2 linked regions of the Canis lupus familiaris genome follow. The protein of the gene in region 1 binds, or shares a complex with, the protein of each later gene. Links are inferred from orthologs where the notes say so. Each region holds a gene or a part of one and is shown in the gene's direction. Other genes may lie near its edges. The genes, in order: KLB and FGF19.

Region 1 (15,192 bases):
ATCAGGCTCCCTGCTCAGTGGGGAGCCTGCTTCTCACTCTCCCTCTGTCCCTCATCCCCACTCGTGCTATCTCTCTCTCTCTCTCTCTCTCTCTGCTCTCTCTCAAATAAATAAGTAAAATCTTTAAAGAAAATAAAATAAAACATAATTTTAAAATAGTATGTTGTGGTTCATGTCAAATGGTCCCCAACTGCTTCAAAATTTAGGACTGATGGACATAAAGAAACCAGGATGGTTTAGTAAAGTGATCTGAGAGGCCTGGGTTCAGATGCTACCCTTACCAGTGCTCAGCCTCTGTGAACTTCAATTTCTTCTCTAAAATGGAAAAAATAGCTCTGCAGGGGCTGTGCTATCAACAACGTATGTGAGATGACAGCTAACTAGCTGATCCATAGTGGGCATTCATTCAGCAAGTACTCTGTGACAGGCTCTTCACAGGCATCTGTATGTACAACGGTCAGCAAAATAGATACAGTTTCTGCCCCCAAGAAGCTGGTAGGCCAGGCACAGTTCTGCAATCCATGGGCCTGAGATGTACAATCCGGGGGACCTTCTGTAAGATAAAAAAAAAAAAAAATTATGGATGCAAAGTTAGTACAAAAGTGAACATTTATTTGGAATGAGAAAAATATTACAACAGATTACTGTAATCTTAGAGATTCATATTCCTTCTTTTCTGAGGTCTCTTTGGAAATTCATCAGCAATACTTTTCTAGAAATGCTTCTAAATGCAACCAGCTTCCAACCCACCTAGAACATTTTATAGGGACCCATGCAAGTGAGGAGTCCTAAGGCTTCCGCTTCCTTCAGTTCCGGGAAATCTGCCTTTGTTGCCAGGCCTAAAACTAGTAGGTTTTATTTTTGTTATTGTAATAACTGTATTTTTGTAATTTCCAGAGTGGTTTCTACATGGACTGTCTTTAACTCTTCATTCCTAAATCCTGAGGAAAGGCTTCATGTCCCTCACCCAGGCCATTTTAGCTTCATTTATACTCTGAGATATGCTCCTTTTGCATGAAAAAATTACTAACAGGATCCCAATTGTTAATGTAATAATAACAGGAAGCTTAAAATAGCATTCCAACCTCTGCAGAGTTGGCATGCAAATGTTCTTCTTGGGCAAGGAAATTGAACTTCAGTTAAGCATCAATTTGCTAATATTGATTTCTTAAAGCTCCCTTCTAATATCTGGGGAAACCCACAGATGCTTCACTTAATTAATTATAAGCTTTATTCTAGACTTTTTTTTCCCCTCTGTGTTGCCAGGTTTAGACTCTGATTCAAGCATTAGTTGAATTTACTAATATTATCATTGAAATTAGGATTCTATAAGAATATTAAAGCCATTTTTTGAAGGAACAAATATATTAGAGTTTAGTTTTTACATGATTCCTATAGGGAAACCCTGAAACTATACAAATTGATAACAAGCAAAGATTTGTTATAATCATTTGAAAATATGATGATGAAAAGAAAAAAAGAGGGGGCACCTGGGTGGCTCAGTCAGTTGAGCGACAGCCTTGGGCTCAGGTCATGATCCCAGGGTCCTGGGATGGAGCCCTGCATGGGCTCTCTGCCCAGGAGGGACCCTCTTCTTACTCTCCCTCTGTTCTTCCCTCTGCTTGTGCTCTCTCACTCACTCTTTCTCTCTGAAATAAATAAAAGCTTTTTTAAAAAAAGAATATAAGAAGAAAACTCATTAAAACAAAATATAATATGATTATTACTGAGCTATTCCAACTATAGAAAACATGAATTTGAGGGATGCCTGGGTGGCTCAGTTGATTAAGCATCTGCCTTTGGCTCAGGTCATGATCCTGGGGTCCTGGGATAAAGCCCAGAGTCCTGGGTTCCCTACTTATGGGGAGCCTGCTTCTCCCTTTCCCTCTGTCCCTTCCCCTGCTCATGCTGGCTTGCTCGTGCGCTCTTTCCCGCTCTCATGCACACAAATAAATAAAATCTTTAAAAAAAAAAAAAAACACACATGAGGGGATCCCTTGGTGGCGCAGCGGTTTGGCGCCTGCCTTTGGCCCAGGGCGCGATCCTGGAGACCCGGGATCGAGTCCCACGTCGGGCTCCCGGTGCATGGAGCCTGCTTCTCCCTCTCCCTCTGCCTATGTCTCTGCCTCTCTCTCTCTCTCTCTCTCTCTCTGTGACTATCATAAATAAATAAAAATTTGAAAAAATTTAAAAAAAACGTGAATTTGAGCCATTAAAAATAGGATAGGTAAAAATTTTCTTTATGAAAGGTGGGAACTTTTATTAATATTTAAGCTGCCTCCTAAGACAGATGAGGGTAAGATACTGTTTCCAAGAATTTCAAGATTCAAAAAAAAATTTTTTTAAATAACAGTCATATATTTTATTTTATTTTTTTAAAGATTTTACTTTTATGTTATCTCTATAGCCAACATGGGGCTCAAGCTCACAATCCCAAGATCAAGAGTCACATACTCCACCAACTAAGCCAGGTACCCCCACATATTTTTAATGAAATAATAGTCATATATTTTTTATCAATGAACAGTAAAAGTTTGCATACCTTAAGCCCTCAATAAATATTTGTGGAATGCAGAATGAAGGACAGCAATTTTAATTAACAGAAAACTTGATACTAATATAAAGTGCTAGTAGAAAAAACACATGAATCAATGAATCAAACTGAAATTATGATTGCTATTATTTTTGGTTTCAGGTGTAGAATTTAGTGATTTATCACTTACATATAACACCCAGTGCTCATCATAACAAGGGCCCTCCTTAATCCCCATCACCCATTTAGTCCATCCCCCACCCAACTCCCTCCATCAACCCTCAGTTTGTTTCCCATAGTTAAGAGTCTCTCATGGTTTGCTTCCCTCTCTCTCTTTTTCCTTACCCTCTGTTCATTTGTTTTGTTTCTTAAATTCCACATCTGAGTGAATATCATATGGTATTTGACTTTCTCTAACATTTTGCCAGCATAATACACTCAAGCTCCATTCAATCAAACTGAAATTAATCCCAATTCAAATGGACAATGACTAAAATTCAATCAGCTGCAAGAAATAAATGAGAACACACATATCTAGCCATGAAACTCAAGAGGTAGGGAGAGCTAGCTGCAGACCACTCTTCTAGGCCACACAGACTTCCCACCATTGTTTTTCACAGCAAGATAAATTATTTTCAGCTTAGTCTTTTAATGTACTTCAAATTTATATTTGTGTTATCTTCATAGGGTCTTGACATGTTTACCTCTTTCAATTTTCACAACAATTCTCTAGCGTGTTTCTTTTTAGCTAGAATAACAGAGGGAGAACTGAGGCAACTAGGAGGGGATGATTTATCCAAGGTGATAAAGCCAGTTAGCAGTAGGTCCAATACTAGAGCCTGGGTCTCTTACTTTCAAGACCCTTTCTCCTACAGTAGCATGTAGGTAAATAGCAGTTTCCTGTCGTTCTTGCTAACCATATATCCCCAAATAGACAACCAATGTTTTGAAGCAGTTGGTCAAAGAACACTCACATCAATGGACAAAATGTGTGAAAAGCAATTTGGAACTATGTAAAACAATTTTGAAAATAGGTAGCCCATGCCTGGGATTAACAGAAGGAAAGAATCCAAACAAATTAAAAGTTATATTCCAAAGTTAGATATTACGACATTATTTATGATGGGGGGAAAAAAAGAGAGGAAGGAAGGAAGGAAAGAAAAGCAAGCTAATGCATATCAAAAGAGACATAACTAAGTAAACCATATTTCATCAAATTGGTGAATGGTTATGAAGACTAGGAAGATGGAAAATGCTCAAAGTGATTTTAGCTGGGAAATATATTTGGAAAAATTGGAAGGGAACACAGAAATATGAAAACAGTTTGCTCTGATTGTGGAGTTTTAAAATAAATTTTATAAAATAAAATAAATTTTCTTTAACGGTTTTTATTTAAGACTTTATGAAATAACTTTAACCATAAAAAAGTTTATAGTTCACATGAAGGTATTTCAACCTCAATGTGACTAAAATCATACACAGATGTGGAAATTTAGCTTTCGACAAATGTTTGGGGCTTTCTTAAAAACAGGCGCCTGTGATGTATGAGGTTTGTTCATCTGTCTTCAACCCCTGTTGTCCACAGGGTCCCACATGTCTTCCTGACCTCTGACCCCGTCTTCACTTTGTTTCTAAAGTCATGCCCACTATCTTATTTGCTTCCTATCATTCATAGAACTTATCTGAGTCTGGTCTTCTAGGCATCAAAGAAGCTACTACGTTAGACTAGAGGAGGGAACAGAACGAGATATTAGGCCCCTGGCTGTTTCTCAATGACATCAGGCCCTGATAGCTGGCTTGGAAAGAAAAAGCTGCTGACTTCCCCTTTAAGCTACTGAATCTACTGAATCTAAAGAACAAAGGTTGAAGCTCCCTTAAATCAATCATTCCAAAGGTAGATGGCCTTGTACAAGATAGAGGGTAACCTTGAAAATCGCACAAGGACTGTTGTGCAAGGTTGCAGAGCCCGGGCCGCACTTCTGCACCCCATTTTAGTTTTCCCAGTAGACCTCCTTCATGAGTGTCAGACCAAAGGACACCCCTAGATATCTCTCTTACATCTAGATTTATATCCAACTCATACCTCGAAGCAATACTTTTTACCTTGTTACTTGGCAAACAGGATCAAGTTATAACCATAAGTGCCACACAAAGAACCTCCCCCACATTCCCCACATAAGCATGGAGAGGCTGTCTTCAGGCCAGAGCACAGATAACCTTAGATACCTTGATAGCCTATGCAAACAGCAGCAAAGGTGAAAGAGACACTGTGGAATACGAAGGTCACCTTGGGGCATGACAACACATATCTATATATAGATATATATAGATATCTCCAGAAAACTTGCTTGGAAGGGAATTGCAAATCTGTGTATCTGTTGTCCTCCAAGCTATCCTATTTCTCATTAAAATGCTGACCTAGGGATGCCTGGGTGCCTCAGTGGCTGGGCGCCTCCCTTTGGCCCAGGGAGTGATCCTGGAATCCAGGGATCGAGTCCCACCATGGAGCCTGCTTCTTCCTTTGCCTGTGTCTCTACCTCTCTGTCTCTCATGAATAAATAAATAAAATCTTTAAAAATAAAATAAAATAAAATGCTGACGTAACCAAGATTTTATCAATGCTTAGGTCATCTTTCATATACTCACTGAAATAGGTATTAGATCATCTATCTTAAAGAAATTCCCCTCTCCTTTTTTTGTTCCTCTGAGGACTGATTTAATAAATGTATACTGATTCCATCTTTCTCTTTAGTTTCTGACGGCATCGTAGTTGTGAGGCAACTTATTGTGACTTGGAATCTTGTGTGTCCAGGGCTTTAGAGTTTACACATCAGAGGGGCACAACAGCCCTGAAGAGATGTACTGATCACTGTGGTGTTTGTGAATGAAATTACAGAGGATAGCAAAGGATTAAAAGAGAGATTGGAATAAAGCAAAGAATGCTGCCTTTGAATTCTAGTCATGCATGATTGCTTTTGTAGCAAATCAGAAGGAAAAAAAAAAAAAGGAAGAAAGAAAAGGGAGCAGCTTTCAAGTCTCTCTATTGTTATTTCAGCTCCAGAAAAGCCTAGAAAGAGCACCTAAGACCATTTCAGGTGAAGTCTGTCCCAGACTCCCTCTGTGTTTCCTTCCAGAAGCCGGAACTCAGGTTCTGGATTAGGGAGAAGGCCACAGCCTAAATACTTCTCTAGTAGAAGAACATCCTGGAGAATGTTTGGGTGCTGAATGATTCCAGGATCTTCCAGTGAAAATTGAGCAAGGACAAGTGGAATAGTGGTAATACTTCAAAGCATCTACTCCTTCAGAAAATCTTTCAGGGAAGGATTTAAATTAGCTATTGCATAAAGCAAGGAGGCATCTGTTCTGGAATCCTTACCTCTTAGGGTAACACCTATCTCTCCCCATCCTAACACAATTTAGGGAACTTTTCAGTGTTCACAGAATCTATTAGTTTTTTGTTCTGTTTTTTTTTTTTAAATTTTTATTTATTTATGATAGTCACAGAGAGAGAGAGAGGCAGAGACATGGGCAGAAGGAGAAGCAGGCTCCATGCACCAGGAGCCCGACGTGGGATTCGATCCCGGGTCTCCAGGATTGCGCCCTGGGCCAAAGGCAGGCGCCAAACCGCTGCGCCACCCAGGGATCCCCCCTTTTTTTTTTAAGATTTATTTGAGAGAGAGAGAGAGCATGGGTGGGGAGAGGCAAAGGGAGAAGGAGACAGGCAGGCTCTTGGAGCGGGAAGCTGGTTGTGGGGCTCCATTCCAGGACCCCAAGATCATGACCTGAGCCAAAATCAAGCTTCAGACGCTCAACTGACTGAGCAACCCAGGATCTATGAGGTTTGAACCATTGTTCAGATATGATTGTTTTTGGCCTACAAAAAGGCATTTCAGATCATTCAACCCAGTACAAAATACAGCTCTAATGAGCAAAAGACAAACTAAGAAACAAAACGGAAAGCAGATATTGTGAGTTAAAAATAGTAAGGGTTTGTGCACTTGTTTTAGAAACACCGAAACAGAGGAGGAATTGGGACACCTTGGAAGAGATGTCAGGAGGCAAGCAAGTCTGAGGGGAAGAGATACTGTCACACAGATAAAGGACAATTCTAAGGCTGCCAGGGTCACCAAGTGACCCTGAGCATTAACTGGCCTAGAGTCCTTAATTGTAGGCCTTGATATTGGCTCCCCCGAAATAGCTCATGACTCTTTACCAAACTTTTAATTATTTTTTCATTTAATGACCTATTTTATGCTGTTTTATACATGTTTTCTTCCACATATTCCATCTTATTTTCTCAATAAGATTATTGGCTCCTGAGGGCACATTTCTGTGCCATTTATTTCAGTCTCTCAGGGCAGATCAAGGCAAACCAAGCACTAAGCTAGTGCTCACTGAGTACCTCTTAAGTAGACTAGAAACCTATCATGAGGCTCTGTTACAAGAAAACCCAACTGGAAATGTAAATTGTGGGAGGACCAATAGCAACGACATGCATCTTTGAGCAGTACCTCCTACATGCTTCATTGTGTGCTACACATTTAATATATATGTTAGCGTCACATCTAACAACTTTACAAAGGGTATTATTATTATTATTATTAACTTCTTTTTACAGCTGAAGATACTAAGAGATTTCAGAAAGGTTAAGTGAATTATCTAAGGCCACATGGTAAGTATCTGAACTTCAAGCCCAAGAGTGCTGAACCCAAAACCCACACTCTTTCCTGCAGGGTATAATCCCTGTCATCCTTTTACAATAGCAGTAATAATAACTGCTATATTAATAATAACAATATTGTTATAAAAGAAGAGTTATAAAAATAAAAGTTATATTAACAATATTAGTGTTATAAAAATAATAGTAACAGTAGTAATAATAATGGATTATATAGGGGTTACTCTGTGCCAGGCACTATTCTAAAGTCCTTTACACGTATTAATTCATTCAATCTTCACAAGCCCAGAAGATGGGATCTATTATTCATTTACAGGACTTGGAGAGTGCATTATCTAGGACTTCTAAGTTAGGGCTAAAAGGAGATTCTGTAGAACAATGAAAGATCATTGCTCTTTGTTTTTTTAAGGAGAGGAAGAAACTCTGTAATCCACACCTTACCTACACTCAGCACCAAGAGGGCGCATGAAAGGAGCCAGGGAGAGCAAAAGTAAGATGGAGTTTGGACCAGGGCTCTTTGCTTGCCCATTGGCAATCCAATAGGAGAGGCTTTACGTTGGAGGCACAGCAGAAGCAGACAGAGAGCAGACTTTGAGATCATTAGGGTTCCCTGACAGCTCTCTGCTGCATCGTGTGCTTCACTAATTTGTCCATGAAAAGACCTTCTACCAGCCAAGTTACAATCCTTGTGAGTTAGGACCATAAAGATTAATGATATTTTCTTCTTATTAGGCTCATTCGAAAGTTTGGCATAACTACAACACAAATTTCCGCCCATATCAGAAGGGTTTGTTATCAATCACGTTGGGATCCCATTGGATTGAACCAAACAGATCAGAAAACATGATGGATATACTCAAATGTCAACAATCCATGGTTTCAGTGCTCGGGTGGTTTGCCAACCCCATCCATGGGAATGGAGACTATCCAGAAGTGATGAAAAAGAAGTTGCTCTCCACTCTACCCCTTTTCTCTGAAGCAGAGAAGAATGAAGTGAGGGGCACAGCTGACTTCTTTGCCTTTTCCTTTGGACCCAACAATTTCAAGCCCCAGAACACCATGGCTAAAATGGGACAAAATGTGTCACTCAATTTAAGAGAAGTGCTGAATTGGATTAAACTGGAATATGGCAACCCCCGAATCTTGATTGCTGAGAATGGCTGGTTCACAGACAGTCATGTGAAAACAGAAGATACCACAGCCATTTACATGATGAAGAATTTCCTCAACCAGGTTCTTCAAGGTTGGTTGCACATTAGCTCAATTTTTTAAAACTTTGTAATACATATCCTATAGGACACTTAAAGTCATCTTTGAACATATTATTGTTGTTGGGCTTTCCCATTGTGCAATGTTGATAGAATTTTTGTGTTACTCTCATGTCCTTTTTTTTTTTTTAATTTATGATAGGCACACAGTGAGAGAGAGAGGCAGAGACACAGGCAGAGGGAGAAGCAGGCTCCATGCACCGGGAGCCTGACGTGGGACTCGATCCCGGGTCTCCAGGATCAGGCCCTGGGCCAAAGGCAGGCACTATACCGCTGCGCCACCCAGGGATCCCTCTCATGTCCTTTTTAAATAAAAGTTTGAAAACAAAATAATACTAGACTGTAGATATACACCCTTGTTGGCAACAAGGTGCTGTATCATTCTTTTTATTTTTATTTTTTAAAGATTTAAAAAATGTATTTATTTATTTGAGATATGGAGGAGCAAGGGGGAAGTGAGAGAGATTCTCAAGCAAATTCCAGGCTGAGCATAGAGACTCAGGAAAGGGTTGATCTCTCAAGCCTGAGATCATGACCTGAATCGGGAGTTAGACACTTAACTGACTAAGCCACCCAGTTGCCCTCATGCTCAATCATCCTTTTTAAAAGGACACATGCTACAAGAGATATGTTCCAAAGTTTTCCAACAGTAGTACCTTAGTCTAAGATACTGAAAGCTTTTCTTGAAATTAGGCTCCTTAAAAAGAGCACCTGGATGACCAGTTGGTTGAGCATTCCACTCTTGATATGGATTCAGGTTGTGATCTCAGGGTCCTGGCATGGAGCCCTGTGGAGGTCTATGTGCTCAGTGGGGAGCCTGCTTTTCTCTGTCTCCCTTTCCCTCTGCCCCTCCCCCCACTTGATCTACCTCAAATAAGTAAATAAATAAATCTTTAAAGAAAAAATAAATTGTGCTCTTTTTATTCTATTACATGACTAAATGGTGAAAAGGTCTAAAGAGTGAGCCATGAATGGCAAAATTGAGTAATTTCTATTGCTCCTGGGTGTTTCTCTGACCCCTACTAACCCCCTCATTCCTTTTCCGCTACTCAAGTAGTGACATCTACAGGTGGCTGATTGAAATAATGGAGCAGAAGACAAACTCAAATGATGATGGGTCTGTCCCCTACAGAATTGGGCTCCATTTCACCCAAATATAAAGAAATTCTCAGTAGATCTTTCTAAAAGTTTGTAGCCCTCTTTAGAAGTCGCAAGCCTATGGGTGCCTGGCTGGCCCAGTCAGTAGAGCATGCAACTATTTTTTTTTTTTGAAGATTTTATTTATTCCAGAGAGAGAGAGAGAGAGAGAGTAACTGGGATTAGAGCAGGGGGAGAGGAACCAGCAGACTCTGCACTGAGTGTGGAGCCTGTCACAGGGCTCGATCTCAAGACCCTGAGATCACAACCTGAGCTTAAACCAAGAGTCAAATGCTTAACCAACTAAGCCACCCTGGCGCTCCTGAGTATACAGTTCTCGATCTTAGGGTGTTGAGTCCCAGCCCCACATTCGGGATAGAGTTTACTTAAAAATAAATAAACTAATTAACTAATTATAATTTAGAAGTCACAAGCCTAGAGGAAAACACAGGTTCTGCAGGAGTACCTTCAGGGAAGGTCCTCAGGGAGAGCAAGATCTTTTTGCCCCAAACTGTGGGAAGGAGCATCATGGAACAGCCACGCCCAGCCATGGGCATGTGCACATGGGGGCCTCCAGAGCAAAGGACTCTGCCTAGAGAGCCTTGGCCAAATACCATGCAGTTGGGCAGAAGGGGTATCCATTCCCTAGGTGTTACCATTCCATCTCCCCTGAGGGCCCTACAACACCAAAGGGACTAGAACCAGGGCCTACTGGAATGTATTGATCTCACTAGAATCTCTTGGGCTGGATCTCGCACCTTTTAGGAAAAGAACATCAGTGACAAAAACCCAAAAATGCGGAAGTGATGCATTTCTATGAGAGAATTGGAAGCTTTTAAGAAAAGAAAAATAGTTCTTAATTGATTTAGGTATTTGTTGCTTTTATTGCTGTTGTTGATTCTCATATTTCATTTCTACCCAATTCCTAAAAGTTATTGAATCAGGGGTGCCCGGCTGGCTCAGTCGGTAGAGCATGTGACTCTTGGTCTTGGGGTTGTAAGTTGGAGTCCCACATTCTCGAAAAAAAAAATAGATCTTTAAAAAATAAGTTATTGAATCGGAGTTTTCAAAGATCCTGAAAGATCTTTTCCAATCTTTTCTGTTAACAAACGAGATCAATAAATTTGCCCAATAGCACCCTCCCAGGAGCATAGCAGCCCCCTACCTCCTGCCCCTCACCAGTCAGTTCTCTTAAAGCACTATACTATTTCTCCTCATGGACACTCACTTATGGTCATTCTGCAAGCTGATTTTTCAGTCCTTAAAGGGTGGTTTCATAGAAGATAGTTTGTGCACAAATGGGAACTAACCCAAGCTTGCAATGAAAAACTCTTGGTCACGAGCAGACATCTGCCTTGGTCCCAAAGGGTTCTGGGAATTTCTATGCCTTCTGACACAGATTCACACACTAATATTCTCAGGAATATTTTAAAATTGATCTTTTAACTGTGTCTTTTACTTGTTGTGAGTAGGGGGAGGACCATTCTGGATGAAACTGACTGCCGCTTCTCAAGTATAAACATGAATCTTCTATTTTATATAATGAGCCTGTAATTTAGGAAAAAAGTTGGTTTCACAATATGCTCCTGGCACATGTCCCCTGGCAGATTGTTAGCGAATCATAAACATGAGCAAGAGTGAACATCTCTGCTTTTCTTCCTCTGTGCAGCAATAAGGTTTGACGAAATACAAGTGTTTGGCTACACTGCTTGGTCTCTCCTGGATGGCTTTGAATGGCAGGATGCTTACTCCACTCGCCGAGGATTATTTTATGTGGATTTTAATAGTAAACAAAAAGAAAGAAAGCCCAAGTCTTCGGCATATTACTATAAACAGATCATACAAGAAAATGGTTTTACTTTCAAAGAGTCCACCCCAGATGTGCAGGGTCAGTTTCCCTGTGACTTCTCATGGGGTGTCACCGAATCTGTCCTTAAGGTAAGTGACTGCTTACAAAGTAACCATAAATTGGTGCAAATAGTACACAGTATTTTATTTCCTTTATTCAGTGACAGCTGTCAGACAATAGCAAATATGACTATTTGGAGGTTATAGAGGGGAGTTGGGGTAAGAGGAAGGAAGGTGAGAATCAAGGCTTATGGAGAGCCTTTCATGTGCTAGAATTTATCTTTGGTGATGGAGATGGGAGGCTGCCCTCAAGAAGTATACAGTCTCCAGGGAACTTATAGCTATTTTTGCAAGAGGCATTGGTCAGTAGTATCAAAATTATAAACTTTTTTATATATTTTGTTTTGCCAAAAGCAAATTATTATTAGTGGCCCTTTATTTAAGTGGTTCCTGTTATTTGATAGATTTGAATAATTTGCTTATGAGGTCCCTATGTCCTGGTGGGGACTCCCAAGCCTCATTCGTCACCTTCATCACATGACTTACTTAAATGCCACCTTCTCAATAAGGCTTCCCTCCACTCCAAAAAAATCACAATCCTCTCATTCCCCTTTATTCCTTTCCCCCCCATATATGCTATTCATCACTATCTAACATACTACTATGTACTTTTCACACGTTTCTTTTGTTCTCTAGCTGTATTGAGATATAACTGACTACCACATTATGTAAGTTTAACAACACATTGACTTGATTCAATTATATATTGCAAAATGAATACCACCATAACAATTCCCATTTCTTTTTATGGTGAGAACATTTAAGATCTATTCTCTTGGCAACTTTATGTAATACAGCGTCATTACTAATAATCACTATGCTGTGCATCAGATCCTCAGAACTTAATTTTATCACTGGATGTTTGTACCCTTTAACCAATATCTCCCCATGTCCCCCACCTCCACAGCCCCTTGTAACTGCTCTATGGATTTTTCTTTTTTTTTTTTTTATAATTTATTTATTTATTTATTTATGATAGTCACACACAGAGAGAGAGAGAGAGGCAGAGACACAGGCAGAGGGAGAAGCAGGCTCCATGCACCGGGAGCCCGACGTGGGATTTGATCCCAGGTCTCCAGGATCGCGCCCTAGGCCAAAGGCAGGCGCTAAACCGCTGCGCCACCCAGGGATCCCTCTATGGATTTTTCTTATGTCATTTTTTCACCCTACTAGAATGCAAGCTTTTTCTGCAGAAGGGTGGAGATGCTTGAGGCTTTGCTCCCTGCTGTGTGCCTTACTAGGGCAGCGTCGGGTACATGGACCACTGAGCACCGGCCATGTACCATGCAAAGTGAATTTGTTAAGGCCAACTTTTAGAGCCAGATGAGACCTTAGAGACCTCCTCTTCCAAATCCTTCATTTTACAGATAAGGAAAGTGAGATCTATCATTTCATAAATGAGTCCAAGGTAACATAAGTAGTAGCAGGACTGTAACAGGCATCCCCAAGCCCCCACATTTACAGTGCTCTTTTCAAAATAATAGCAACTATTTTTTAAAGATTTATTTATTCATGAGACTCAGAGAGAGAGAGAGAGAGAGAGAGAGGCACAGACACAGGCAGAGGGAGAAGCAGGCTCCATTCCATGCAGGGAGCAGGACATGCGACTCCATCCCAGATCTCCAGGACCACACCCTGGCCTGAAGGCGGCGCCGCTGAGCCACCTGGGCTGCCCGCAGCTATTTTTTTAAGTCCTTATTATGTGCCAAGCATATAACTGTTGTATATATGCATATTCTCTCCTAAATCTTAAAACCCTCATTTTACAAGCAAGGAAACTGAGGCTTAGGGAGGTTACCTGATTTGTTCAGGGTACCCAGATCTGTCTGCTTCCTGACACCATGCTATAAGACCTCACAATTCCACACTATGGCCTATATTCTAGAAGCATATGGAAAGCCAGCAAGATCTACAAGGGATGAGACCAAACAAAAGGGCTCAAACCATGAATGAATAAAGTTCACATATTATGAATCTCAGTCCCTGTTGATACTTAAACATGATTTGGTAAAGGCTCAAAGATAATATAGGGGGGAAAGATAGAGTAACCTAAATACAGAACTGACTCATCTTCAATTTGTGTCTCCTGTAGAGCCAACTACTTACTCGGTTGCTATCTCTTCCACATGGCAAAGGCAGGCCATCTTTCCCCTACTACTTCAAATGGGTTTATACTTTTTATAATTCCACACCCAACAAAGAAAGATGCCAGGAGAGATAAGAGTTCCTGCCTGTATATGACCCAACCTGCAAGTTTCTGCTTCATCTAAAGACCCACTTGTGCCCCAGTGATTGACACTGTGAATGTCTATCCTACCTGGGGACCCTACCCTACTCCTAGGAGGAAGAGTGAATCACTTGGGTCAGAGGAAAGCAATTCTATGATCAACTAGTTCTGAGTCTCATGCTTATACCTGAAGCCCAGGGAGGCATCAGCTGCCCTTGAACTTGGACTAAGAGTGAGGATGAATTGTTTGCCAAGAAAAATGAGAGTGCTTTTTGAAAACACAGTCAGAGGATGTATGAGTAGATGCCAAAAAACTAGATGTCCTCTATAGGAAGACTGACAAAATGAAAGTAACACTTAAAAAATATTAGTATATCTACCTATAAACATCCCTATCTTATTTTCCTCCAGCCTCTCAGTATTCTTTTCTCCTCTCACCTTTTGTTTTGAGAAATTTCAACCTAGTGCAATAAACACTCATATTCCCTTCATCTAGATTGACTAATTTTTAGCATGTTGCCACAATTTCTTTCTCTTTTATAAACCAGTGAAAAGTTGCAGACATTATTACACTTCACCCCAAAATATTTCTATTCAAACGTGTCTCCTAAAAATAAGAACATTCTCCTATATCATTATAGCATTATCAAACCCATATTTAATATTGATTCATATCATCTAACATACATTCCATATTCAAATTATCCTAAATGTTCCCAAAATGTCCTTATAAAGATTTTTAGATCAAGAATACAAACAAGGATGACACATTGGTTCTCATTTATCTTCAGCCTCCTTTAATTCAGAATAATTCCCCCAAGTTCATGTTATTATCACTTTTGAAGAGCCCAGAACATTTGATTGGAGAATGTCTCATGTTCTCCATTTCTTTTTTTCTTTATTGTAAAGATAAATAAACTTCTGTAAAGATAAACTTCTGTAAAGATACTACATAGATGAGGTTGTATTTCCCAATATATTGCATCAGGAAGCACGTGTCATTGTTTCATTATGGAAGATGTTATTGTGTTGAAGTAGTAGTTACCATATTTCTTGATTAAGGCAGCATTTGCCAGACCTCTTAATTGAAAGGTAACTTTTCCATTTGTAATTAAGACGTAATCTAAAAAAAAAAAAAAAAAAACAAGAAGTAATCTGCTGGTTACACTTAGAGACCATATACATATCCTGCTTCCCAACAACATATCACTAATGGTCTTTTTTTTCTTAAGATTTTATTTATTTATTCATGAGAGACACAGAGAGAGAGGCAGAGACACAGGCAGAGGGAGAAGCAGGCTCTCTGAAAAGAGCCTGATGCAGGACTCAACCCCAGGACTCCACCCCAGGACTCCAGGATCGCAACCTGAGCCAAAGGCAGATGCTCAACCACTGAGCCATCCAGGCGCCCTACTAATGGCCTTAATATTGATTCATAAAA
Region 2 (15,844 bases), on another chromosome or scaffold:
AGCCAAAATCAAAAGCCACCCAGGGACACCCCCTTTTTTTGTTTTTAAATAATCTCTACACCCAGTGTGGGGTTTGAACTCACAACCCAACCCTGAGATCAAAAATCGCACTCCACGCATTGAACCAGTCATGTGCCCCCAGTGTTAGCCATTGTAAAGCATAAAATTCAACGTGGCATTTAATACCTTCATTGCCACCCTAAAAAGACAGTTCTTACCTGTGAACCCATTGGTCAGTCCCCAGGCATCCCTCCCCAGCCCCCTGGAATGGCCAGTCTGCTCAAGCCAGTGTTTTTATTTTTATTTATTTTTAAATATTTTATTTATTTATTCATGAGAGACACAGAGAGAGGCAGAGACACAGGCAGAGGGAGAAGCAAGCTCCATGCAGGGAGCCCGATGTGGGACTCAACCCCGGGACTCCAGGATCACACCCTGAGTCAGGCAGATGCTCAACCACAGAGCCACCCAGGTGTCCCAGCAGGTGTTTTAAATAAGGAACCATCAGCATGTAGGTTTTTTCTCTTTTTTTTTTTTTTTTTTTTAAAGACTTTATAACAAATCAAACGTTGTGCTGGACTCTGTGATGTTCTGGGCGGGAAGGGGATATTGCTGTAATAGAATGTGTTCTGGTCCCTTTTCTGCTGCCCACAAGGCTGAATGTCATTCCCCCTCTCTGATTCTTATTTTTGTTCATTTGCTAATTTGGGGTTTCTAAGAAATCACCTTCCAGGTCCTGCGCAACCCCAGAATCAGTAAAATGACCTGGAGTCCCTAGTTCACTGCCCCTGTGATTTGCCTCCGGGAGTATCGGTCCTGCCTGCCCGTCTCTGCCCAGGCCTGGAGGGCAGCGGGGCAAGTGGGAGGTGTGCTGTCCCCGGCATGGGGTGGGGAGTCTCACTCAGCTCCTTACCTGTCAGCTCCTTACTGCCAGCCTGGCTTCGTGTGCCTTGGTGTCTCGTCTACCAAATGGGTCAATGGCTGGCGCCTGGTGCTGCTGCAGGAAGTCTATGGGACATGACTTTGTTGGGCAGACCCTTCTCCAGAGGTGAGGTCTTAGATGTGAGTGACGCAGGAGGACTGGCCCTGGTCCAGGGTGAAAGTCGCTGCCCTCCCTCTGCCAGCACTGGCGGGGTGCTCTCTCCCACGGACTCCTCTCCAAGAGGAAAACGCGAGTGGATATGGCTTCGTCCGGAAGTGTTCCTGAAATATGCTTATGGTGCCCGGGGCCAGTCCTCGGGGAGAAGGACTTCTAGAGAGAGTTCTTGTTTGTGCCACTCCCGTTGGCCCCGGCGATCCTGCAGATCCTGCAACAGCAATGCCAACCTTAACCTTCCCTGCGTGCACCACCGGGTGCCCCAAGTACACCCCTCCGGTTGGGTTGGGAGCCCTGCCTCTGGGCTATCACAGGCCAAGAGAAGGTCTGATGCATGAGACCTGACCCATCAGAAGTGCTCAGAAAGTGTTGGCAGATCCGTGAATGATGAATACGGCCAGGGAAGCCAGGGCAGGGTGGAAGGAAGGATGGACAGAACGTGCAAGGGAAGGATAGACAAACGGAAGAATCCAGCACATTCACAGCCACGTCAACGCCTCCTGGTTTCCTTTAAATGATTGGTGCACTTTTTCTTGACCATCAGCTACGTGTCAGGTTCTGCTCAAGGCACTGAGGACACGGCTGCAAACTGAGCAGACACATTCGCCACCTCCACGGAAACACGTTTGGGGAGGAGGCAGATGGCAGGGCAATAACCGTATGGAGAAACACCTGCCAGCTGTGTGAGGAGCAGAGCCCACGGAGCCCCAGCAGCACCCCAACGGGTTGCTATCTGGCTGTCCTGCTGGCCAGGGGCCACCACGTCAGGAGTGCTTCCGCTCAGTGACTCCAGGACCTTCCAGGATCAATATTTTAATGTGATGGCTTTTAGAGACATCACTGTTAGCACAGTTCATGTTTTCTCATTAAGCTACCTTTTTTTTCTTTAACGGGGTGACATTTGCCATGTTCTTGCATTCTTAGATATTGATACACTGACAGGTCCAACTATTTTCCATTGGAAACACGTGGCTGCTTTGATGAGCAGAATTCATGGGCAGAAATCAGCTTTACAGCCATGTTGTGAGGAGTTCCTCTGTCCCAGGAATGACTGCCAGCTCCTGTATCACATATGATAAAGTAAGGCACAACCTCACCTACACCCTGCCCAATGGGGGTGGGGTGGGGAGGTGGACAGGGGTGAGGGGCTGGGCCAGTGAGTGGGCCTCAGGTCCTGGGGTGGGGTGGGAGTCTGAACTGGCAGCCAAAGAAGCTTCCAATCCCAGCTCCTGTGCCCCTTGGTTGGCTGTGACTTAAACATAGTGTCGGACTCACCTGAAGAAGCCTGGAGGAAGTTGTACCTCCCTTAGTGTGGATAGAGAAGGGTCGTTTCCCAAATTCCAGTAGCAAACGGCTACATCTCACCTTAATCCAGCGTTTGTACCTGGACTGGGACCTACCTGGGAAGAGAGACCACAGAGCCTGGTAATCCCCCTTCTGAAAGTGGATAGGTGTGAGATGTGTCTCCAGGATTTCCTCCCCTACGTGATGTGGGAGAGGAGACGGGAAACAACCTAAATGTCCAGCCCTGGGGAACAGACCAGACCCTCACAGTAGCCCACTCAGATCTGCTGGGATCCAAGAGGGCTGTAAAAGGGGTTTAATGTCCTGGGAGACGGTAAGTGAGAGAAAGGAAAATATAATTCAAATGCTGTGGGTGTTTTGTTTTTTTTTAAAGATACATATGTATTTTTTAAAAGTCTGAGGAAGAAATTTACCCAAATAGAAACAGTAGCTCATAATGCAGTCATAATATTCCAGGTTTTAAACTTGCCCCCATTGCGATTTTCTGTAGTTTCCAAATTTTCAACCACAAACAAGTACCACTTTTGCAATGAAAACGTTCAAACTCAAGGTGCCTGGGTAGCTCAGTGATTGAGTGTCTGCCTTAGGCTCATGATCCCGGGACCCTGGGATGGAGTCCCACATAGGGTTCCCCATAGGGAGCCTGCTTCTCCCTCTGCCTATGTCTCTGCCTCTCTCTCTGTGTGTCTTGTGAATAAATAAATAAAATCTTAGAAAGAAAGAAAGAAAGAAAGAAAGAAAGAAAGAAAGAAAGAAAGAAAGAAAGAAAGAAAGAAAGAAAGAAAGAAAATGTTCAAACTCCACTTCATTGAGTCACAACTTAAAATGCACCCTAATTTTAAGGGCACCATTCAATGAGTTTTGACAAATGTCATTGCCTATTACTCATCACCTCAATTGAGAAAAAGGACATCCCCATCATCCCAGAAAGCTTCCTCTGGCTCCTTTCTGGTAATCCCCACGCCTATCTCCTGCCTCAGGCAACTACTGATGAGCTTTTTGTCACTATAGACCAGATTTGTCTTTTTCTAGGGTTGCCGTTATTTTAAAATGCAAAGATAACGAGAGTAGCCTTTAAATAAATAACAATAGCTACCCCTTCTGTTATGCACCCACGTATGCCAGGCGGTCTCTATATGAGTATTTATCTCTCCATTGATGGAGGTATCTTTGCTAATTCTCACATTAACTCATTTGGAGGTTAAAAGCAATCCTTTTGCTATTTTACAAATAAAGAGGCTCAGAGAAGTCTTCCTTTTTCCCCTCTGATATGGCTTCTGCCCATTTCTGGGCTAGTGGGGTGCCGTGTCTTTTATTTTTAGAATAATGATCCTAGTAGGGGAAAAATGGGTTTTGATGACACCGAATGCTTTGGGGGAAATGATGCATGTTCTAGCAGATTCTAGCAAACATATTGGACTGATTCAGTGTCCCTGAGTTCCATTCTTGGTTCTGCCAGGAACCAGTGGCTTCCCTTAACCCAAGTATTCATAGTCCTTTCTGTCACAGGCCTGTTTTGCCACTTCTTACTTTTTGATGAAGATTTTTACCACCACCGAGAAGTTTCTGTAATTACAAGGAACTGCTCAACTGTGGGGCGGGGGCAGGGGATTTGGGATGGGCTTGAGGAGGTGCTTATGTACTTAAGAAGGCATGTTTGACATTGTAACGTAAATTTCTAGCCATAAAGTGAAAAGAAAAACAACTATTTTCATAATGCAAAGACTGGAAGCGAACCGGAACAAGATTTTCTTAGCTGTTGGGATGTGCGTTTAGAAACAATGAAAATCTTTCATTTGCCACCATCAAGAACAATTCAGACAAGCTTGGGTTGAGAGAGGGTGGCCCCAGGATAAGGGTTTAGGGCAGTTCAAAAGATCCCAGCTGGGGGCACCTGGGTGGCTCAGTCGGTTATGCTTATGCGGTTATGCGTCTGCCTCAGGTCATGATCCTGGGGTCCTGGGATTGAGCCCCATGTCTGGCTCCCTGCTCAGCGAGGAGTCTGCTTCTTCCCCTCCTTGTACTCTCTCCCTCAAATGAAAAAATAAAATCTTAAAAAAAAAAACAATACAAAACACAAAAGATCCCAGCTAACATCGAACCCAGAAGGAAGCTGCCAAGCAAGGCACTTCTGGTCACCATTGCCTGAGAGCCCTTGGGCCCTGGGTGGGCTGAGTGGGGCAGCGAGGGTGACCTGGACTCTTGCTCCAATTGCCCTCCACTCAGTGAATGAAATCTCACCGGGGCGGGTCACCGGGTTCAGTCACCACCAGAAAAATCCAGATCATCCCATCCCAGCATACTGGTGGCTGCAGGGCTGGGAGCCTTTATTGGGTTCCTCGCCGTCCTGAGCAGCTCTCACCTAGAGTGCTAACCGCAGCGCCCCCTGCTGGCCAGGACCGCCTTTCCCCTGCTCCTCCTGTCTTCCTCCAAGGAGCACACCAGGGGGACCAGCAGACCTGCCCAGGGCCCCTAGCTCAGCCTGGCTGGGAGCAAACACTTGCTGCCTGTCTGGACAACTCTGCACACCTTCGTTTCCTGATAGTATGAATTAATCACCCAAACTTTCAGAGCACCCTGTGATTATGTAATGCTAGTACCCCATCAACTCTTAGTGGATGGCCGTCACTCTTCATGAACCATATCTGGTACCTTAGGTCCACTCTCCCATGTGACCCCAGGACAAGGCTCAAAGCAAGCATGAGGAGACAACAGGCCCAGCAGGTCCATGACCTGCCCACGGAGAGCCCAGGCGAGGATTTGTGGTGGAGAGAATCCGATCCTAAAGCCCGAGCCCCTGCTTGGAGGCCACAGCACCTCTCAGAGAGGAGGCATGGCCTGGATTTACAAGCTTGATGGCCTGGGTTCCAATTCCAGGTCCACTACTTGAAGGCTGGGTGCCACTTTTCTGGGGCCCTCCTCTCCTAGCTATTCAAAGAAGTGGGGATAGAATACTATGGAGGTTCTTATAGGGGTTAAAGCCGAGGACACCCATAATGTGTTTAGAACAGGGCCTGGGCATAGGAAGCTGCTGCCTTTACCACCTTCCTGAGCTCCGAGATCACAGTGGCCACTGTCCTTCCACTGTGTCCATGGGAAGGGCAGCAAAAGAGCACGGGTGGGGCCAGAGGCTGGTGTTCCCTGCCCCCAGACCGATCCTGGGTGCGGCCCCCATTGCAGCCTCTGCCATCCTCCTCAGTGCCCCACATTTATCCAGGATCTTTAAAACGAAAGCTGCAGGGGAGGGTAATTAAGTTTAATAGGAGCCGCTGTCGATTTAAAGCCACAGGGGGGAAGTAATTAGATTTAACAGAAGCCGTGGCTTTCTGAACCAAGACACGCAGCGTGGGGGTCCTGGTCTATAAAGCCTTTGAGATGATGTCTTTTTGTAAAGCCTTTCCTGGTGACATTTTCTGCACGCTCCGTCATTAACGCCAGTCACTGACTGGGTATGAACATGGCCTTTACTCATTGAAATTCATTAGGTCTGGCCCTGATTTCTCTCCCCGCTCTCCACTGCTTGCCCGCCCATTGCCTTTGCGCTGAGACAGCATGGCTTTCCCCCAAAACTGGCCTGCTGGGGCTCCACACCCAGGATTTGGGGGTCGGGGGTGAGGTCTGGAGAAGAAATGAGAAAGAATCAGTGTGGAGCCCAAGGTCCCCAGGAGGACCCTCTCCGGCCAGCCAGGGCATTCTCTGGATGCTTTTTCCCTTTTCTGAGCATCCTTGGAGAAAGTCTGGTTTGCAGGTGCCACTAGACCAAGCAGCCCCAATCTCCGGCCTGGTGCCTACCCCCAGCTCAGCATCGCCTCTCACTGCTGCTCTGTCCCTCCCCGACCTCTCCTCCCCCAATCCCCCCAAGACACGGGGCGGGGCGGGGGAGGGGGCGTCCTGGCCCCGGGAGGACTCAGAGACCCGAGGACCAGACCAACGACAAAAGGCACCCCAAACATAAGCCTCCCCGCGCCGCGCCGCGCCTGGTCCGAGCTGGGAAGTCCGAGAGTCCCCGTCCGCCGCGGCCGAGCCGTCCCTGCGCCCGCGAGCGGCGCCTTAGGACCCCCGCCCCGCCAGGCTGCAGCTCCGGGGCCGCGGGCCCTGCGGGCAGAGGCCGAAGCCGGGGCCGAAGCGCCATCTAGCGCTCGCCGCGCGCCACTTCCCCATTGTTCGTCCCGGGACTGGAGCCCGGCCCCCCGTCGGGGGGCAATTTACTGGGGTAAAGGGGCGGGAGGGGGGCCGGGATCGCGAGACCATAAGACCAGGACGACGTGAGCTAGTCCGAGCGGCAGGGGGAAATTCTAATGGACGGCTTTACATCTGGAGATATGACGGTTGGGACCGTCGTGGGAGGGAGTGGATGCGGGCTTTTAAGGGGAGAGCGCCCCGAAGCCGAGGCGACGCTTCTCCGGACAGGGGGCGAGGGATGCAAAGGTCGGTGCCTCAGTCTCTGGTCACGGGGTGCCTGCTCCCCGCTCCTGCTAGCGCCCCGCGGGGAGCGCATTCCCTGGGGGAGCCGGAGGCGAGGGGGCGGGGACGCGTTGTCTCCTTTATTGCTTTATAAAATCAAACTCTCCCAGCTGAGAGCGACCTGGCCCCCGGCCCCACCACTGCGCGGCGGGGAGGGGCCCCCCGAACCCTCCGGTGAAACGGGGCCTCCTCCTCCCCCAGATCCGGGAGGCCTGGGCGGGGTCACCCGGGCGGGGTCCGGGGAGGGGCTGGGGCAGGAGGCGGGGTGTGAGTGGGTGTGTGCGGGGGGCGGAGGGCTGATGCAATCCTGATAAGAAATGCTCGGGTGTCGCGGGCACCCACCCGCCGGGCGGGTAAGACGCGCTATATAAGGCCGCTGGCTTCGAGCCTCCGCGCCGTCGGAGCAGGAGCGCTGAGCGCCCGGGCGCCCGGAGCGCACCGCCGGCCCGAGGGACGCACCCCGCCCCGGCACGCACGGCCCTGCTGCAGCCCAGCCGCCCGCGCCCTCGCCCTCGCCGCCAGAACCGCGTCCCGAGCCCCGAGCCCCGAGCCCGGAGGTGCCATGCGGCGCGCGCAGAGCCGGTGCGCGGTGGCCCGCGCCCTGGTCCTAGCCGGCCTCTGGCTGGCCGCAGCCGGGCGCCCCCTAGCCTTCTCCGACGCGGGGCCGCACGTGCACTACGGCTGGGGGGAGCCCATCCGCCTGCGGCACCTGTACACCGCCGGCCCCCACGGCCTCTCCAGCTGCTTCCTGCGCATCCGCGCCGACGGCGGGGTGGACTGCGCGCGGGGCCAGAGCGCGCACAGTGAGTGCCCACTCGCCCCGGTGCCCCTTCCCTTCACCTCCTTCGGGAACCCCACGTTGGCACCTCCGCGTCTGCTCCCTGCCCCGGGCCCCTGACAGCGCGGGGAGCTGGGGGGGGGGCGCCCGCACGTGGACCCACCGCACCCACGCGTTAGTGTTCGCTTGTCCCCTTCGGTTCCCGCGGACCCCCGCTTCCCGGGAACCCCAGATCTTGGCACCTGGGCGTCCCATTCCCTCCCCAGGGTCCCAGAATGCATGAGGGGAGGGGTGGGGTGGGGTGGGGTGGGGGAGGGCACGGGCCTGTGCACGCACCGCATCCACGTGCTGTGGGCCCCGCGGGTCCCGGCTGCAGCCTTCTTTCTGCTTCCCTCGACCCCAGGTCTGATGGAGATGAGGGCGGTCGCTCTGCGGACCGTGGCCATCAAGGGCGTGCACAGCGGCCGGTACCTCTGCATGGGCGCCGACGGCAGGATGCAAGGGCTGGTAGGTGTCTCCGCCGGGGGGACCTCCGCCTGCCCCCGGGCGGGGCCCCGCAGGGGAGGGGGGCGCGCTGGATCGAGCCCAGGCTCTCCTCGCTTTCTGCGTGGGGTCCGGCGGGGGAGCTCGGGAGGGAAGACCGCGAGGGGACAGATGAAGCTGAAGTGTGGGGGGGTTTCTACGCAAGTTTACGGCTGGTGGCCAGAGAAGGGGTGAGAGCTGCCTTTGCATTTCCTATTGAGCCGAGGGCCGGCCCAGGGGGACAGAGGAGACGCTGTCCTCGGCTTTCTTTGACAAGAAACAGTGAAACCCACCTCGGGCCATTTCAATCTGGGCCTGCGCGTGTGTGGTCCTCGCCGCCGGTTCCCTCCCCGCGGTAGAAAAGGAAAGCATGAGAAAGTATAGTCACTTGGACTTTTTTTTTTTTTTTTTAAACCGACCTTCCAATAAGTCAGAAAAAATTACATTTGGGGCGGGGGGAGGGGTTGTGTGTGTGATTTTTTTTTTTTTTTCCTCTCCATTAATTTTTACCTACTAGAAAAGCAGTGTGGTGCTTGCTGACGCGTTGCAAGAATATTCCAGGGGCTTGTTTGCCCTCGTGGAGCGCTCACCTGTGCCGCAGATGCTTTTGGGGGAGGGTGCTGCGGGGAAACGGGACGGGAAGGCCCAGGTGACCCTCGAGGTCTCGGGGCAGGAAGTGTGCGGAAGCTGGGTCTCGGTCTCCGGGAACAAAGGCTGGGAGTTCAAAGGGAGCCCGCGCCCCTCCCGCGCCCCCGGGCGCACAGAGGAGCCTGTGTGAGGTCCCGGCCGGGCGCAGGGCCTCAATGCAGCCCCGCTGGGCGGAGGGCGCGGCTGCCGGAGCGGGGCGAGGGGGCGGGAGACCGCGCCTCCGGGGGTGGCCCCGCCCCCAGGAAAGATGCAGACGCCGGGCCTCCCGGCAGCGCCAGTCTTTTTGTGTGTGTGTGTCCCAGTTGTTCTGTGGCTCTGGGGCCGGTTTATTCCATTTATCCAGAGTGACTGTTTGAGGTTTTATGGCAGAGTCCTGCGTGAAAGGACCAGAACGGAGGGAAAGAAAGGAGGTGGTCAGCTCGCTGAAAGCTGACACCCAAAGCCACTCTCCAAACCCGCAGTGGCAACTTTTGTTATCGGGACATTTACTTGGGATGGGGGGGGGGGGGGGGCGCGGGGTGAGGATGGGCAGGGGAAATGCTGGAGGTCGTGCTGGCGCAGAGGGGTCTAACCCACCAATCTAGTCCAAACTTGGAGGGGGGGAAGGTTGCTTCCCCCGAAATCCTGTTCTGTCCCTTGATCCCGTGGGCATGGCTTAACCAAAACGGAGGTTGTTTTGTTGTTGTTGTTGTTGTTGTTGTTTTTAAACAAATTCCACTTTCTCCAAGCAATTCGAAATCCTTTCCTTTTCTGTTTAGAGAAGAGCATGGGTGCTAGTTTCTCCCAAAGGACCAGCAGAGTAAAAGGGTACCACCATTTGCTTTTAATTCTCTTGTTTATTTATCAATTTGCATTTCCCGTCGCTGTCTGGTGGCTCTATCGCAGTGCGGGAGCTGGGTATGTTGTTGCTTCATTAGACTTGAGCCTTATCAGTGCCTTATCAGCACAGCGCTCACCCACCTGCAGTTCAGCGACCTTTGTAGGCTCGGGCACAAACGGGACTGGGTGCCTCACGGGGTTGTTTACCGCCCAGCCCTCCTGGCTCTCTGCCTTAGGCTGCCCTCTGTGTCCCCACCTTCCCCAGGGTAATGACCTTCTCCAGTTTGGTACAGGACTTGGCCCACTGGTACTTCTTTGCTACCAGTATTCTGGGACCCCAGGAGCTGCTTTCATCCCGTAGGCTTGCATTTCCCGCCACCCCGCTGGGTGCAGACTCTGTTCTGGGTCTGGGGGGAGGGGGCTGCCTTTATCTTGATAATCCTGGCCGGCTGCCTGGAAGGCTCTGGGCCTTGGAAGGAAGGAGCCCTCACCCCTCACAAGGGGGCTGAGGTTTCCTGCAAGGACATCAGACAGAAAGGCCTCAGAATGGCCCACTGTTACTTAGGTCTAGATGGGGAATCAATGCGCTAGTCTGGGCCCTAGATCAGATTAGGAGAGCATACCCAGTGTAGCGGTGTCTCCCAAAGTGTCAGTGGACCCCAGGGACATTTTCATGTCAATAGTTCTATGTTTGCTGTAAAGGGTGAGGGACAGAGGCACCCATGTTGCACCTCTGATTTGATGCATATTGCTCAGAACAAGGCTAAGTTTAAGAAGTGACATGATTTAGTGAGAGATATAAAAGATCCATGAAAAGTATATACAGATACTGAGTACACACATGAAATACGCACCTGAAGTATGTGTGTATATGAAGGCATATAAAACACCTATTAATATGTATAAATTTATACTTACAAAGTATATATAATGCGGTATGTAACTTTAATGTTATAATTTATTACATTTCTTTTTTTAAAAAAGATTTTATTTATTTATTCATGAGAGACAGAGAGAGAGAGAGAGAGAGAGAGACAGAGACACAGGCAGAGGGAGAAGAAGGCTCCATGCAGGGAGCCAGACATGGGACTCGATCCCTGGTCTTCAGGATCACACCTTGGGCTGCAGGCGGCGCTAAACCGCTGAGCCACCCCGGCTGCCCAATTTATTACATTTTTATATTAGCATATGCACAATGTGTTTATTAATATAATGTAATGCCTACTTTATAGAAGTACACATTTACATATATAAACACGTACGTTATGCTATGTATAACTACACACACAGATAAACACGGCTCATCATGTGGACCCAAGTGGCAACATGTAGCACAAATGCTCACCAGTGCCCGTTTTCTCTGCTGCTTCTGGAGCACCAGGGGGCTCCCACTGGTGCTCATGGTTGCCTGTTTTCTCCACAGCCTCAGTACTCCGCCGGAGACTGTACTTTCGAGGAGGAGATCCGTCCCGATGGCTACAATGTGTACTGGTCCAAGAAGCACCATCTCCCCATCTCTCTGAGTAGTGCCAAACAGAGGCAGCTCTACAAGGGCAGGGGCTTTTTGCCCCTGTCCCACTTCTTACCTATCTTGCCCGGGAGCCCAACAGAGCCCAGGGACCTGGAAGACCATGTGGAGTCTGACGGGTTTTCTGCATCCCTGGAAACAGACAGCATGGACCCTTTTGGGATCGCCACCAAAATTGGACTAGTGAAGAGTCCCAGTTTCCAAAAATAAGTGGGGCTGTGGCCTGACCTCCCACCCCTGCCCCCAGCCCTTAGAGGCCAGGACCCCAGACGTGTGGTGGGTTCTGGCTGTGCTTCTACAAATACGATCCTGGGCTCGTGTTCCAGTTAGCTTTAGGAAGAGACATCTAGAGCTTGTACATGTACAGAGTTTTCCATCGGCTATGCCAGTTCCTAGCAGATAGACTTGTATGATCATAAAATCATAAGCCCTCCACCCTGCACCTTTGCCATTGCTGGACAGTTTGCTGTGGTGCCCTGATTCTGCTTGAATACCTCCACTGGCCGGGAACTCACTACCTTTGGGAACGTTCTCTCCCATCATTTCTAGCAGGGGCAGCCAGGAAAAAAGCGGTCATTTTAAACTCACGTATAGGTGATCAGCTTTGTGAAAACTTACCAGGACAGAACTGACCGGGCATGGGCATACCTCACCAGGCTTCAGGAACTGGGAGAACCCAGAGCCCGGGAAAACTTTTAAGAACTCCCCACTACGGCTGGTTCTGGGATAGATCACCTTCATCGGACTACTTGGCAGTCTGCCTGCCCCCCCCACCTTGACCACCAGTGCCCTGCACATAGCCAACATTTGCTAAGGCTCAGGCTGATTCCCCTAAATGAATGGGCACCTACTGAGAGGGACAGGACACGAGGACAGCCCCAGCAGCCCTTGCCATCACAATGCAGGTTTCCACAGGATCCCATCTCTGGACGTGTGGGTTTCACATGATTGCCCCTCAGGACAGAACCTTCCTGGTCTCGGCGACGCTGCGGCTCTGGCGTGTTCCCTCCTTTCTTAAGCACCAAGGATTCCAAGAAGAGTGGAGCAGATGTGGCTTCTGGGGCTCCTTCCCCTTTCCTAGCCCTTCGCTGGGCACCACGTCTTCCTATGCAGCAGAACTTGGCAGCCTCCCACCTTGGGTAGACCTGCACATCTCGTTCAAAAGCCAGGAAAGTTTGGATTCGCAAGCCCGGAATCTTGCCAGTAACTTGCGGAAGCAGCGGGGAGAGAGCCCCTTCCCCCAGCACTTAGTTCAACAACGTGGTATTTATGAGTAATTTATTTTGTTTGATATGTACATCTCTCTATTTTCTTACTTTATTTATACTCCTAAGTTGTATTTATGATGTACGTGAGTTTTTTGTTTTCTACATTAAAGCACAATTTGTACCAAAAGTTGCATTTCATTATCCAATTGGATGCCCTCGAGGGAGAGCGGGAAGGGGAGGGAAGGGAAACAGACCTTGGCGCTGAGCTCAGAGGAGAGGCTTTGGGTGTTTGCTGCATTTAAAACTACACTTTCTGCCAAAGCTCACAGTCATTGCAACCACCCTCTAAGCTGAGGCTCTGGTGGGTCGAATAGTAGATTCGGTTTACCCAGTGGTGGAAGCTGCGTGGACCTGGGTGCAGGCTTCCTTCTACTACCTCTGCTAGGACTCTGCATGGTTACCTCAGCCACAGCATAGGGGTGTGTCAGGTGTAGGAACCAAACCCCAGCTAGTAGTGTCACCCTCTGCATGTTGACACTTGGGGCCACGTAGCTCTTTGCTGGGGTCAGGTGTTCCTGAGTGAGCTAGGATGATCAACAGTGACCCTGGCCTCTCCATCCACTAGATGCCAGTAGCATCCCCTCATTATGACAACCACAAATTGCGGAAGAAGTTGCTGCATGTCTTTAGGCAAAATTCCCCAACTGGCTGTTCATTCTAGAGAAAATCATGGGCTTTTCTGAGCCTTGATTTCCTCATCTGTAATATGGGATGAGGATGGAGAGAGCAGTAATGACGGGAGCAGCCACGCAGTGCCTGGTGTGGACAATGGTCCAGTTCACCCCATCACCTGGGAGGTACTGTGCAGTTATGTCAGTTACTCTGCTGAAGATCATTGTGAACGTCTACCGAGGCTATTTCATGAGGCGTCTCCCATGTCCCCTGCAAGGACACCCCACTCTAAGCTGTCATGCACACTGAGGACGTGCCCAGGACCTCCAGAGTTGACCCTCCACCGCTTGTTTGTCATGATGCCGCCTCACTCTTGACTGCCTCTCCCCTCTGCCCCATGACACTGCAGAATGGGTGACCCCTGCTGACCAGCATCCTCTACCCCTTGTTCTACAGGTGATGGAGTACAGGACCACCCAGGGAAGGCACCCATCCAAAGCTGCAGAGCCCGGAAGCAGCATGGTGGAAGGACTGTGGGTTCAGGCAAGAAATCCTCCGGCCTATTAACCTGTGTCACTTGGAGTACGTCAAGTCACCCCTGTGAGCCTGCAACTTCATGTGAACCGTGAGATGAACAAGGTGTGCATTGCAGGACTATTGGGAGAACCAAATGGAATCTGTCTGCGAGATGCCTGGTACAGAGTGGGCCGCCAGACAGCAGCAGCCCTCACCAGGACTCGAACTGGCCCAGAACAATTATTTCTACTGATTCTTAAATTCGGTTGCACAGTGGAATCACCTTGGGAAAGAGAGTGGTTAGAGCACATCCCCAGAGATTGGGTTTAATTGGAATTTGTGTGGCCTGCATATTACGATTTTGTAAAGCTCCCCGAAGATTCACATGCGCAGCCCAGGTTGACTGGCCACAGGAAAACCATTTTATATTTGATCTTTTGTGCTCTGGAGACAAACACTTCAGGGAAAAAGGAATGGAGTGTCCTCCCCACAGCATAGCTGACAATAATGAGTAAATGCACATCTTTGTTTTTGTTTTTTTTTTAAAGATTTTATTTATTTATTCATGACAGACACAGAGAAAGAGAGGCAGAGACACAGGCAGAGGGAGAAGCAGGCTCCATGCAGGGAGCCCGATGTGGGACTCGATCCCGGGTCTCCAGGATCACACCCCAGGCTGAAGGCGGCGCTAAACCACTGGGCCACTGGGGCTGCCCTAAATGCACATTTTTGTAAACTAATTCACACTAGACTGTTGATGGTTAATACATTTTCACTCCAGGTCACGTTTTCACTTGACCTGACGGGCAAAACGTTGTGATGACCACCTTTATGGCTGATGTGGGCACTCTGGCAGGAGACAGGAGGATGATTCTTCAAGACTGCTTCTTGCGTCCAACCCCCTGACCTAACTCTGCTCCTCCTAGGAAGGTGGCCTTCCCCTTTTTGCTGCATCTCCCTTTGCGCCTTAGACAGTGCTATTAAGTTTAAGCAAACAAAAGCCTGACCTGCCCAGTGAAATTTGAATTTCAGATAAGCAACATACTTTTTAGTATACATATGTCCATGCAATATGAGACCTACTTATGCTAAGAAATTATTCATTGTTCATCCAAAATTCAAATTTAAGGGGGCATCCTGTATTTTGTCTGGCAGCACTAGCTTTAGATCTATGCCACAGACGTGGGGGTCAACTACCGAGAAAGTACCAGGGGCAGGAAGGGGCTTGATTGAATAAGCCTGTCCAGTGGTGAGATCCCAGAAGCAGAACTCAAAAGAACTCTTTCTTTGGACTGTTTCTGCACCTGCCAAGTGAGAATCCTCGTGCTGCCTCTAGATTGTTGTCCTTGGGGTTCACCTTGTTGAAAGGCCAGGTGTGCTTGGGGATGGGGGCGGCTCAACACATCAGTGTCTCTGTCCTTCAGCTTTTGCATCTTCTCCCCTCCTAAGGTAAGGACAGATGGTCCCCAGCAGCGGCAGCTTCTCTTACCCCCACCCCCCACAGCTCCCACAAGCATCTGGGACCCTCTCCCCACCCTCCTGTCCCCTGGTGATTCCCCACCAGATCTCCAGATCTCTGCAGCCAGGGGCCAGGACACAATGACTGGTCAGCCCTGAGCCACCCCCACCACACTGGGAGGAATCAGCCCGGGAAGCTCAGGGATTGGGAGCAGGGTGCTTCCCCAGAGGGGACAGAAGTCTCAGTAAATGCCTGCATTTGTTGATTCACCAGCTGCCGTGCTGAATTGGCGAGCTTTTCTCCTCCGGGTTAGGAAATGCCACCTAGAAATGATCCAAAGACAGAGAAGTATAAGGGGACTGTGGGCATAAGACCACCCTGGACCCAGAAATGGGTCATGGAGTTATAGGGAGACAGAAGAGTGGCCCCTGCCTCGGGCTCAGGACACTTTCAAGGTCGTGAGAAGGGAGTCTCATTAGGGCATGGGGAAACAAAAGAAGGGGTGTCTTTTGCAACTGGGAGCAGAGAGAGAAAGACAGAGAGACAGGCAGACAACTCTAGAAGCACCACATCCCATACTGTTAACAGTTTTGGCCTCAACCATCAAGTATGATTTGGAAACCTCATGAGAAGGATCGTCTGATGGACTTACCCCTGGTTTTACCAGGCCAATGCTCTTGGCTCCTTCCTAAGGTTCCAGGAGACCTTTTCCATCATAATTTCTTACTCTTAGGGAACTTCCTTTGGCCACTCTTTAGAGACAAGTGTGGTTGGCTTCCTCGTCATCCCTCCGTCTGAGAATGGCTGTATGTCTCCTTCCTTCCAGCCC

Evidence for each region.
Region 2: the proteins of KLB (region 1) and FGF19 are in contact, whole or in part, in a crystal structure (PDB 6NFJ), measured with the Homo sapiens proteins. The link is inferred for Canis lupus familiaris from reciprocal best matches to the Homo sapiens genes KLB and FGF19. Residues at the interface, in NP_783864.1 of Homo sapiens: Phe379, Lys380, Val392, Leu394, Trp419, Phe420, Thr421, Asp422, Val425, Thr431, Tyr434, Met435, Asn438, Tyr643, Glu693, Arg696, His743, Asn824, Phe826, Met832, Gln848, Phe849, Leu850, Gln851, Ile853, Leu862, Phe931, Phe942; in NP_005108.1 of Homo sapiens: Leu192, Thr194, Asp195, Ser196, Met197, Pro199, Phe200, Leu202, Val203, Thr204, Ser211, Pro212, Ser213.

The regions. Positions count from the first base shown.
Region 1 is NC_049224.1:73,577,677-73,592,868, reverse strand, and holds part of KLB (beta-klotho), read left to right. Parts: intron 1-7,943; coding exon 7,944-8,454; intron 8,455-11,285; coding exon 11,286-11,554; intron 11,555-15,192.
Region 2 is NC_049239.1:48,913,537-48,929,380, forward strand, and holds FGF19 (fibroblast growth factor 19), read left to right. Parts: upstream 1-7,427; coding exon 7,428-7,668; intron 7,669-8,046; coding exon 8,047-8,150; intron 8,151-11,055; coding exon 11,056-11,370; 3' UTR 11,371-12,510; downstream 12,511-15,844. UniProt on the Homo sapiens protein: Involved in the suppression of bile acid biosynthesis through down-regulation of CYP7A1 expression, following positive regulation of the JNK and ERK1/2 cascades. Stimulates glucose uptake in adipocytes. Activity requires the presence of KLB and FGFR4.